Linked DNA regions of Danio rerio. The protein of the gene in region 2 purifies or fractionates together with the protein of the main gene of each other region. This does not show direct contact. Links are inferred from orthologs where the notes say so. Each region holds a gene or a part of one and is shown on either strand. Other genes may lie near its edges.

Region 1 (3,824 bases), on a different chromosome or scaffold from region 2:
ACTGACTCTGCCCACTAGTGTGCGGTGTAAACAGTTAAAATGAATGTCAATATTTTCTTTTGTCAGCAACAGTGTGTAAAAAGTAAGATGGTTGTAGGGGAAACTTGATGCAACAGACTTTTAAGTCTTAGCAAAATGTCTTAACAAAAATGAATAAAATGTAGGGCTGGGCTATTTGGCCTAAAATCAAAATCTCAATTTATTGAAGATTTTAACTCGATTTGCGATTAATAAATGATTATTTTATTTGTTTATTTTATGCCCTCATATTTCCTTGACAAGTTTTGTTCAGTAAATATGCTCACATATTACATACCAGAGGTTTTTGAATGAATGGTGCATTTGTTAATTTTAAAATAATTGAAAATGTCATCTCAATGCATCTTCCATTCATCGTCAATGTAGTCTAAAGTAAGTTTCAAGAATGAGTCCATCGTCCTACTTGAGAGAGATCAGATGTGGCTGCAAAGTAGCCACAGAAGTATAAATCAAGGCTTAACCGAGCGGATAAAGAAAATTGATGATAGTAAAATGCTACAAAAATACAGGTTTTTTTTTTTCCCCCATGGTCTTTAAATTTAATATGATATGAATTCTGACTGCAGAATTGCAAACATACCTACTGGAAATCAGGGATTTGAACTTAAATATCTGGTAAAATAGATTTAAAGACAAAAAGGTACTTTAAAATGTATAAAATTCATTTGCCTAATGTCTATGACTGTCTCAGATCAGGCATGATCATTAGGCTTTAGATAAACCTGTTCATGCAGCTTGAGAGTGTTGTCTAAACATCGTATTAGTCATTTATAAAGCCTTTTAGACTTTAACCATTGAAACCTGTAGTTTTAAACAGTACTTTAAAAGATATATATATACAGTAGCTGCTGCACAGATATGCCATGACTGCATTTACAAAAGTATGCTTAAATACTGGGAGATGGTGTAGATCAGAGCAGAAATTATTTGGTCAACAACACAATTTTAACTTAACTTAAGAGGATCATCAATACCCTTGACATTCTGTGTTAACATAAGCACTCATTATCTGGCCTTTCTCAGAGACAATTGCATGTCTAAAGGAAGTGTAAACATCCTTTTCTGCAGCGGCTGGCATTTCCTTTGTATCATGATGATGTGTTTTCTTGCGGATTGTTCAAAACCAGGTTTTGTGTGCTGTCTGTCCCTGCTGTAGGTGTGCGTAATATCACTGCGCTGGGGAACCTGATCTCCTGGCAGAAGGTTGATTACGACTTCAACTACCACCAGATGGAATTCCCTTGCAATATTAACGTGCTTATCGCGTCCGAGGGCCGATCGCTCCTCCCGGTAAGAACATCAGGAGTCGCTTTCAGTCTTTTACTATTCAAATATTACCCTGATGTGTTGGGGTGAATTAGAGAGACCGGAATCTTAAATTCCAACAGGTGAAAATGACTTGTGGCTGAATGCCTCTCCCATAGGAGTTGTTTCCATCCGGCCTAATATTTCCATTGCAGTCCAGAGGGCTGCTGTCAGCTGCCCGGCTGCACGCCAATCCTAGATTCGCTGTGATGCTAACAGTCTGTGGAATGTGCTGTGCTATTCCTGTACTTCAGCTCTCTCTAGTTGCCATGGTGGCAACTCCAGCACAAGGGCATCAGAGAGAGAGGGGGCAGGACAGGCCACTTATTTAATGGCACCCAGCTTGATGCGCTGTATTTTTACAAAGTTTAAAAAAGCACTGATGGTTTATTAGGAGTAATTTCATGACTCATTAATGGCTTCTGACATTTCTGCACAAGAGAACTTGAAATATCAGAGCTCAGTGATTTTGAAAATGAAAGGAGTCATTAGAAAAAGCATTTCACTGAGATTTCTGTGGCTGTTTTGCAGTCTGACTGTCAGGTTCACTTGAGGGCCTCTCTGAATCCACCTAACCTGGAGGAGTATCTGAGCGCGGTGCAGGTGGCACAGGTTCCATCCCAGCTCAACAAGTACCGTGTTTACCTTAGTGTGGCGCGGGCTCTGAACTACACCATTTCAGATGAGATCACAAAGGTCAGCGTTCTGTTCAAAATGTGTGTCTGGGTGTTTTTTTGTTATGGTTTCTTGTCTAATGTTGTGCGGTTTACCTACAGGCTGTGGAAGAGGACTTTGTAGATATGCGAAAAGATGATCCTCAGAGTATGTCAGCAGAAGACCTTCATAGACTGCTGGTTGTTGCAAGGTGAGGTTCTTATTCAGCAAATGTGATTAAAAATGGGTTGCTTTTTTTTTTATATAAAAGAAAAAATGATAAGTTTTATTAGTTTGATTTTGATCAAATGGGATACCATTAAAGTGATAGTTTTATAGTAATTAATTTTTTTATAGATAGTAAAATTTTGTCATTGTTTATTCACCCTTTTCTTGTTTAAAACCAAATACATTTTTTTTCTTCTGTTAAACACAAATGAAAATGCGCTTAAGTGGTACCCATTTAGTACTTCTTTAGTCGTTTTTGTCCTACTATTGAAGTTGATGGGTCCCAGCAACCTATGGCAAGCCAGTTTGAGTTTAAAGGTTCAGGACACCCCGGAGAATTTCTTTTTTATATTAACAGATGTGTGTGTGTGTTGAGCATCAGTTAAGACAATGTTAGCACCTGTCAGCTTTAATTGTGGGGAAAACTGGATCATTTTGAGCTTTTGTCAGCTAATTTCAGCTTCCGGGTTTAAAATGATTTTTGGGGTGGGATCAAAATCGGCGACATAGCGCAGTACTGCAAGTGCAATGATGACGCGTCGGTTTCTCATTATTATTCATAGCGGAGTTTTCTTATCCTATGAGAAGAGCCGGTTGCTTAATTATTCATGAGACCTGCCAGACTTGCCAGTGTCAAGCCCGAGCTGAGAGACACGGAAACCACGGCACAGTATTTAGCCGTTCATGAAGGCTCATATGTGTTTGTTTCCATGATCCACGGGGTTTGTTGCATGTTTTCCCAGCGATCTTGTCAAGGCCGATCATACAGCAAAGCTGTGTGTGTGCTGCTAGCATTTTTGTCGGGAGAGCAGCACGAGAATTAGAGAATGGCAGGCGCTATCTTTTATCAGGAGTTCGTCCACATTCAGAAACATCGCCGTGCTGCTGTGTTTGCCTAAATCCTTCAGATTACCAGCAGGGTTAATGGTTAAAATAGACAGGTCAGGAGACCTGCTGCACTGAGTCTGCTGGATACGGGGATTGAGGGAGAAGTCCTCATTTATAGTGTTTACATGAACACATTTATCTTTATAATGATATAAATTGTGGTTATGTGTATATGAAATTACGGATAACAAATGTAGCAGGGCATTAAATCACTGTTCATTTCTTTGCATTTTAACTTTGTAAACTATAAACTCATGCATCTCCTCACGGTTTATCTCATTTTGTGAGCTAACTGACAACAACAGTTGTTCGTTCACGTTCTCCCCTGCTGGCTACGCCCACTCCTGCCCGATGCTCGCAGAGCTCCATGCCCATTAATCATGCTTCTTTTGAAAAAATTCTGAAGTAGACTTTAACCGAAAGTGGGGTGTGTCATTGCCCTTTAAAGGCCCGTTCACACCGAGACATTTTTTGCTCACGTTTTCTGTCAACGTTTAACGCCTCGTGACTAAATAAAGCCTGTCAATTTGATTGTGCACACCAGCGCGCAAAACGCCAGGCGCAAAAGTGTCATTTTTAAAAAAATGCCTCATGCTTGTTTTTTTGTTTTGACGCGCGGCGTCAAAACCTTCTCTGCCAATCAGATCGGCACTTTTGTTCACGTGCATGGAGCTGCTGAAGTTATCGTAAACAGCACTTGGAGGCGCTCA
Region 2 (4,560 bases):
GAGATTTAATTTTATTGCCATTTCAGCTTCTATGGCTATGTCATGGCAAAAATACAATACATCAAGTTTATCACATTTTATAAATACCAATTTTTTTATAATTATAAATATATTCTAACAATTAAAAGTAATCAACAGCAATAAATAATGTCCACGGTAAAATAAATAAATAACAATAATGATAATATATAAGATAAAAATCTAAAACAGTTTATTAAGGTTTCCTTTTGATAAAAGTTGTACAATTTAGATGGGTTTTTTTGTGTTCATCTAAAATCAGATGGTCAATCAAGTTTGGAACAAGTGAAGGATGAGTAAAAGAGAACAACATTTTCTGTTTTGGACGAAACAATTGCTTTAATAAGTAATAAGTAAAGTAAATCTTACTCACACTTGGTCACGATGCCTTCCACACACACAAGGTTTCCCAGAAAGCGAGCACTCAGAGTACGAGGAGACACATGTTTGTTCCCAAAACTGCCCTCGAAACCAACATGAAACTCCTCAAACTGCTTAGCATAAGTGGCATCTATTGAAGCCACGAGATCCTTCAGGGCTTTCTGAAACGCCACCAGCTCAGCGAAAGCATTCTTCAGTAATCTATTAAAAAGAGACACTTAATCAGATCAATAAAGATTCAAGGATATACACTCAAAATTACATTTGCCGCTTCCACTACTTATTTAAAATAAGCTGAAACAACACAATTCAAGCTTTTTTGGGGGAAACCTAACAGTTTTATGTTAAATCAATATCCATTTGTAAAAACTAATAGGTTAACTTATTTTCTTCGAGATGTTTTAACACAAATTGATTGTGTGAAATCCAGCATTTTTTACAGTGTATGGGAGAATGGGGGCAACATGGGGCAGTTACAACAAGACTTATTTCTCCATTAAGGAATGAGCTATGGAGGGATGATATTCATACTACATATTGTCAGTTGGATCCTTCTTCCATCCAAGAGAAATCAGCCATATGTGACCATTTCTTCAGTCTAAAACTCATTTTAGGTATTTAAAAAAAAAAAAAAAAAAAAAAAATAGTTTTTTGTAATGATCAGAAAATTTCTCATACAGCCCAATCTGTTTTTGTGAAACATTATTCATTTGTATAATTTAAATCACTGTTTTCATAGCTTTAAATAGGTATAGCTATCAAGCGTTTGTAACAAGCTATTGTATCTCTCTAGCATGGAATGTTTAATCAAGGTTGACAGAGTTGCTGAACATGCTTCTGTAACTGTCCCCAATTGTTATAAAATTCATTTGAAAGCTTGCCATATTAACAAATGTACAATTTTATTGATCACAGTTTTAATATAATTTGAAAAAAATATTTGATTAATTAATTCATGTCAACATTCTTAGTAGTAGTTTGGTAAAGGTTCAATCTTTCAGTAAAAAAAAAAAAAAAAAAAAAAGTTCAGTTTTTTTAGGCCTTATAATTGGATGTTGCTCGTTTTTTTTTTTTTTTTTTTTTAAGGTTTTGTATTTATATGGCCAACACATTTAATAATTTAACCAATTTTCATTTAGTGGGTTTACCAAAAAATAAAATCCAACTCGAGGTTTTAGATTTTTTTTAAATTATAATTTGAATGAATGTTGCAATTGTCCCTTTCTTTAAGTAATAAATGAAGAATTTATTAACATATCTACACATATTATAGCAATATGGGTGCCTGTCCAACAGAAGTGAGTTTATTGTTTTAAAATTTTGGGGTTCCACAAAAAAAAAATAAAATTGTCTTCGAGAAACTGAAAGAATTGCAAAAAGTGTTGCAACTGTCCCCACTCTCCTCTACAGAGAATTTTCATCACACATCATCAGTCAGCCATATTGGAAACACAGAACGTAAACAATGTGACTGAACTGACTGAGAATCATATTATTTGCTTACTACTGCTGAAAATGATCAATTGTTTTGGGCTTTGCTATTAGATTGTATTAGAATACTGAAAGCCATGTAAAGTCAAGCAGAAGAGAGAAAAAAAAGCTGTCTGAAGAACAAAAAGTGTTTGTGGTTGACCAAACTAATTCACGATTTCCATGGCAAGAATCTTGATAACGTTCATGTTTGTTCTTATAATTTATGCTCAAGCGAGTGTAACATTAGGCTAATCTGGTCAAATGTATCCTTTACCACATGTTAAATCAAAATGCTACACCATATTCTGCTTTAGTAAGTGATTTAGCAGCTTCCATGTTTTTTTTTTTTTTTTTTGTATATTTTAGACAGCAGAGCAACATATAGTACATCAACCATGCTGTTTACACCAGAGTTTCACATGTATCTGGCCACATGTTTGTTACTGACCAAATCCCGAAGAGCAAACAACGTTAAAGAAAAAATCTAAAATTGTCAAAAAAGCAAAATATGAAACAAAATAGACAACTTTTAATCAAATTAATCACTTACTCTTTAGCTCTTTTTTCACTTTTTCTTCTCAGATCATTAATGTTGACAATGAGACGACACTGTCCATCAGACACCATACTCCTGACCTTTTCATGGTAGATGCCCTGATCTTGCTGTAAATTACAATAAAAAAAGATTTAGTTTGACAGACAAAAAACAAAGTTTATACAGTTCAAAATGCCCACAAGTCAAACACATAAAGATTATTCAAATTATTCACATCATCATCCAGAAAGTCCAGATATTCCCTCTGTGACTCTCTCAGCTCGAGGTCCTCTAACCCAGTATCCATTTCTCCTACACGCGCATCAGCATGTGCATTACAATATTTTAAAATAACATTCACAGTTCAACAAAAATCAAATGCACAAACATGAAGCAACCAAACCAAGCTGGTGCAACAGGCCTGACAATCAATTATGTTAATTAGGCTCATTAACTTGAGCATGTGATTATCCAACTGATTTGAATAGAGCTACCCCTATTTCGAACCATGCTTTCATTATGGTAAAAAATATAACAGATAACCATGTGTAGCCTATATCACGTTTTTACTGTAAATACAATGGTTAAACTGTGGTTAGTGTAGCAAAATCATGAATAATTCGTAATTATCATGTTTGTTTGTTTTTTTTTTTTACAAGTAACCATGTTTTATTTGTGTAATGGTAGCTGGACCCTATTAGCAAAATAGATTCTCCTGAACGCTTCTTAAAATGCTCGAGTCAAAAGGACAATGAATGCGCTAGACCCCCTTTGAATTATTCCATTCTTTTATACTGTATTTGAAGCTCTTACAGTGCTCTTCAGTTATTTTACTCCGAGCTGCTTGATACTGTTGACACTCACACATACTGTAGTTGCATAATACGCACATAAATTAGTTCATTTTCGTTTGTTACGACATTCCAGGACGAAGCCTCAGGCTACGGCTCATATGGTTTTATAAAATATTCATTCACGTTTTGGACGAATCTTCCTTTGCTCGGTTCTCTGCAAACAAACTCCTGAAGTGTCTGAAGGCGTTCCTCTTCGGTGACTGACTTTACCATTCAGCAAATAGGATTTGAGTGCGCGCTGTGAAGGCGTGTTTCATTGGTTAGACCTGAACGATTACGCCCCTCTCTATATGTAGTTCCTCAAGCTGGAGAAAAACTGCTTGTTCAGCTCTTATCTGGTAATATATCTAATGTCTGAATCCAATATTTTACATACTAATCAGTTAAGTAAGGGAGCGGGGCACAAAGTAACACTTTTTGGCTTTGGTCAAATAATAAACAAAGGTTTGGGGTTAAACAAACCATTTGTTTTTTTACCAACAAAACACAAGCCTCTCCTACAAATGAGCTCTGGTTGTATAATCGCCGGACTATTGTTTCTTTGCAGTGTTGCCAAAAGTGCCAGGAGTAAAAATGTTACTATTTACCTCACTTCAAGTTGTAACAGACAGGGTTAGTTGTAACACATGCTTAAAAAAAGGCAGATTACACACAGTTTATTTAAAAATTTAAAGTTTACTTTAAATAGTAGCTATATTTTCTCAGTACCTAGCTCAATTTATTTTTTATTCTACACAGCACAGTATGTTTTCCAGAGATGGGTTGCGGCTGGAAGGGCATCCGCTGCGTAAAAACTTGCTGGATAAGTTGGCGGTTCACTCTGCTGTGGCGACCCTGGATTAATAAAGGAACTAAGCAGTCAAGAAAATGAATGAATAGCACGGTATATTTATTTATTTATTGGATAAACACATTTGGATTATACAATGCATTTATTTGTATTATTAGCAGTAAAATATTTTTTGTCTATCAAAAAAAAAAAAATTTCATTTCATTTAAATAGTTCTCAACATTACACTCAAAATTATATATATATATATATATATATATATATATATATATATATATATATATATATATATATATATATATATATATATATATATATATATATATATAGTGTTAGTTTGATTGGTGTCCAACAGTGCGTGGCTTAATTGTAACACTAACTAACTAACCGCGCGGTGTCGTGTTTTCTTCAAAACTGGCTAGCAGTCACTTTGTGTTTTACATCTTTCAAAATGGTTTCATATTTTAGCCTAGAAGATGGTAGTCACAACAATATATTTAAAAAATATT

What was found.
Region 1: the proteins of mcm3l (region 2) and mcmbp purify together in Homo sapiens (affinity purification with mass spectrometry; 10 studies listed by BioGRID and IntAct, counting the BioPlex papers as one, with this or other methods). This does not show direct contact. The link is inferred for Danio rerio from reciprocal best matches to the Homo sapiens genes MCM3 and MCMBP.

Annotation. Positions count from the first base shown.
Region 1 is NC_133188.1:28,756,469-28,760,292, reverse strand, and holds part of mcmbp (mini-chromosome maintenance complex-binding protein), read left to right. Parts: intron 1-1,195; coding exon 1,196-1,329; intron 1,330-1,875; coding exon 1,876-2,040; intron 2,041-2,120; coding exon 2,121-2,209; intron 2,210-3,824. UniProt on the Homo sapiens protein: Associated component of the MCM complex that acts as a regulator of DNA replication.
Region 2 is NC_133195.1:6,685,169-6,689,728, forward strand, and holds the start of mcm3l (MCM3 minichromosome maintenance deficient 3 (S. cerevisiae), like), read right to left. Parts: upstream 2,834-4,560; 5' UTR 2,715-2,833; coding exon 2,643-2,714; intron 2,536-2,642; coding exon 2,423-2,535; intron 601-2,422; coding exon 392-600; intron 1-391. UniProt on the Homo sapiens protein: Acts as a component of the MCM2-7 complex (MCM complex) which is the replicative helicase essential for 'once per cell cycle' DNA replication initiation and elongation in eukaryotic cells.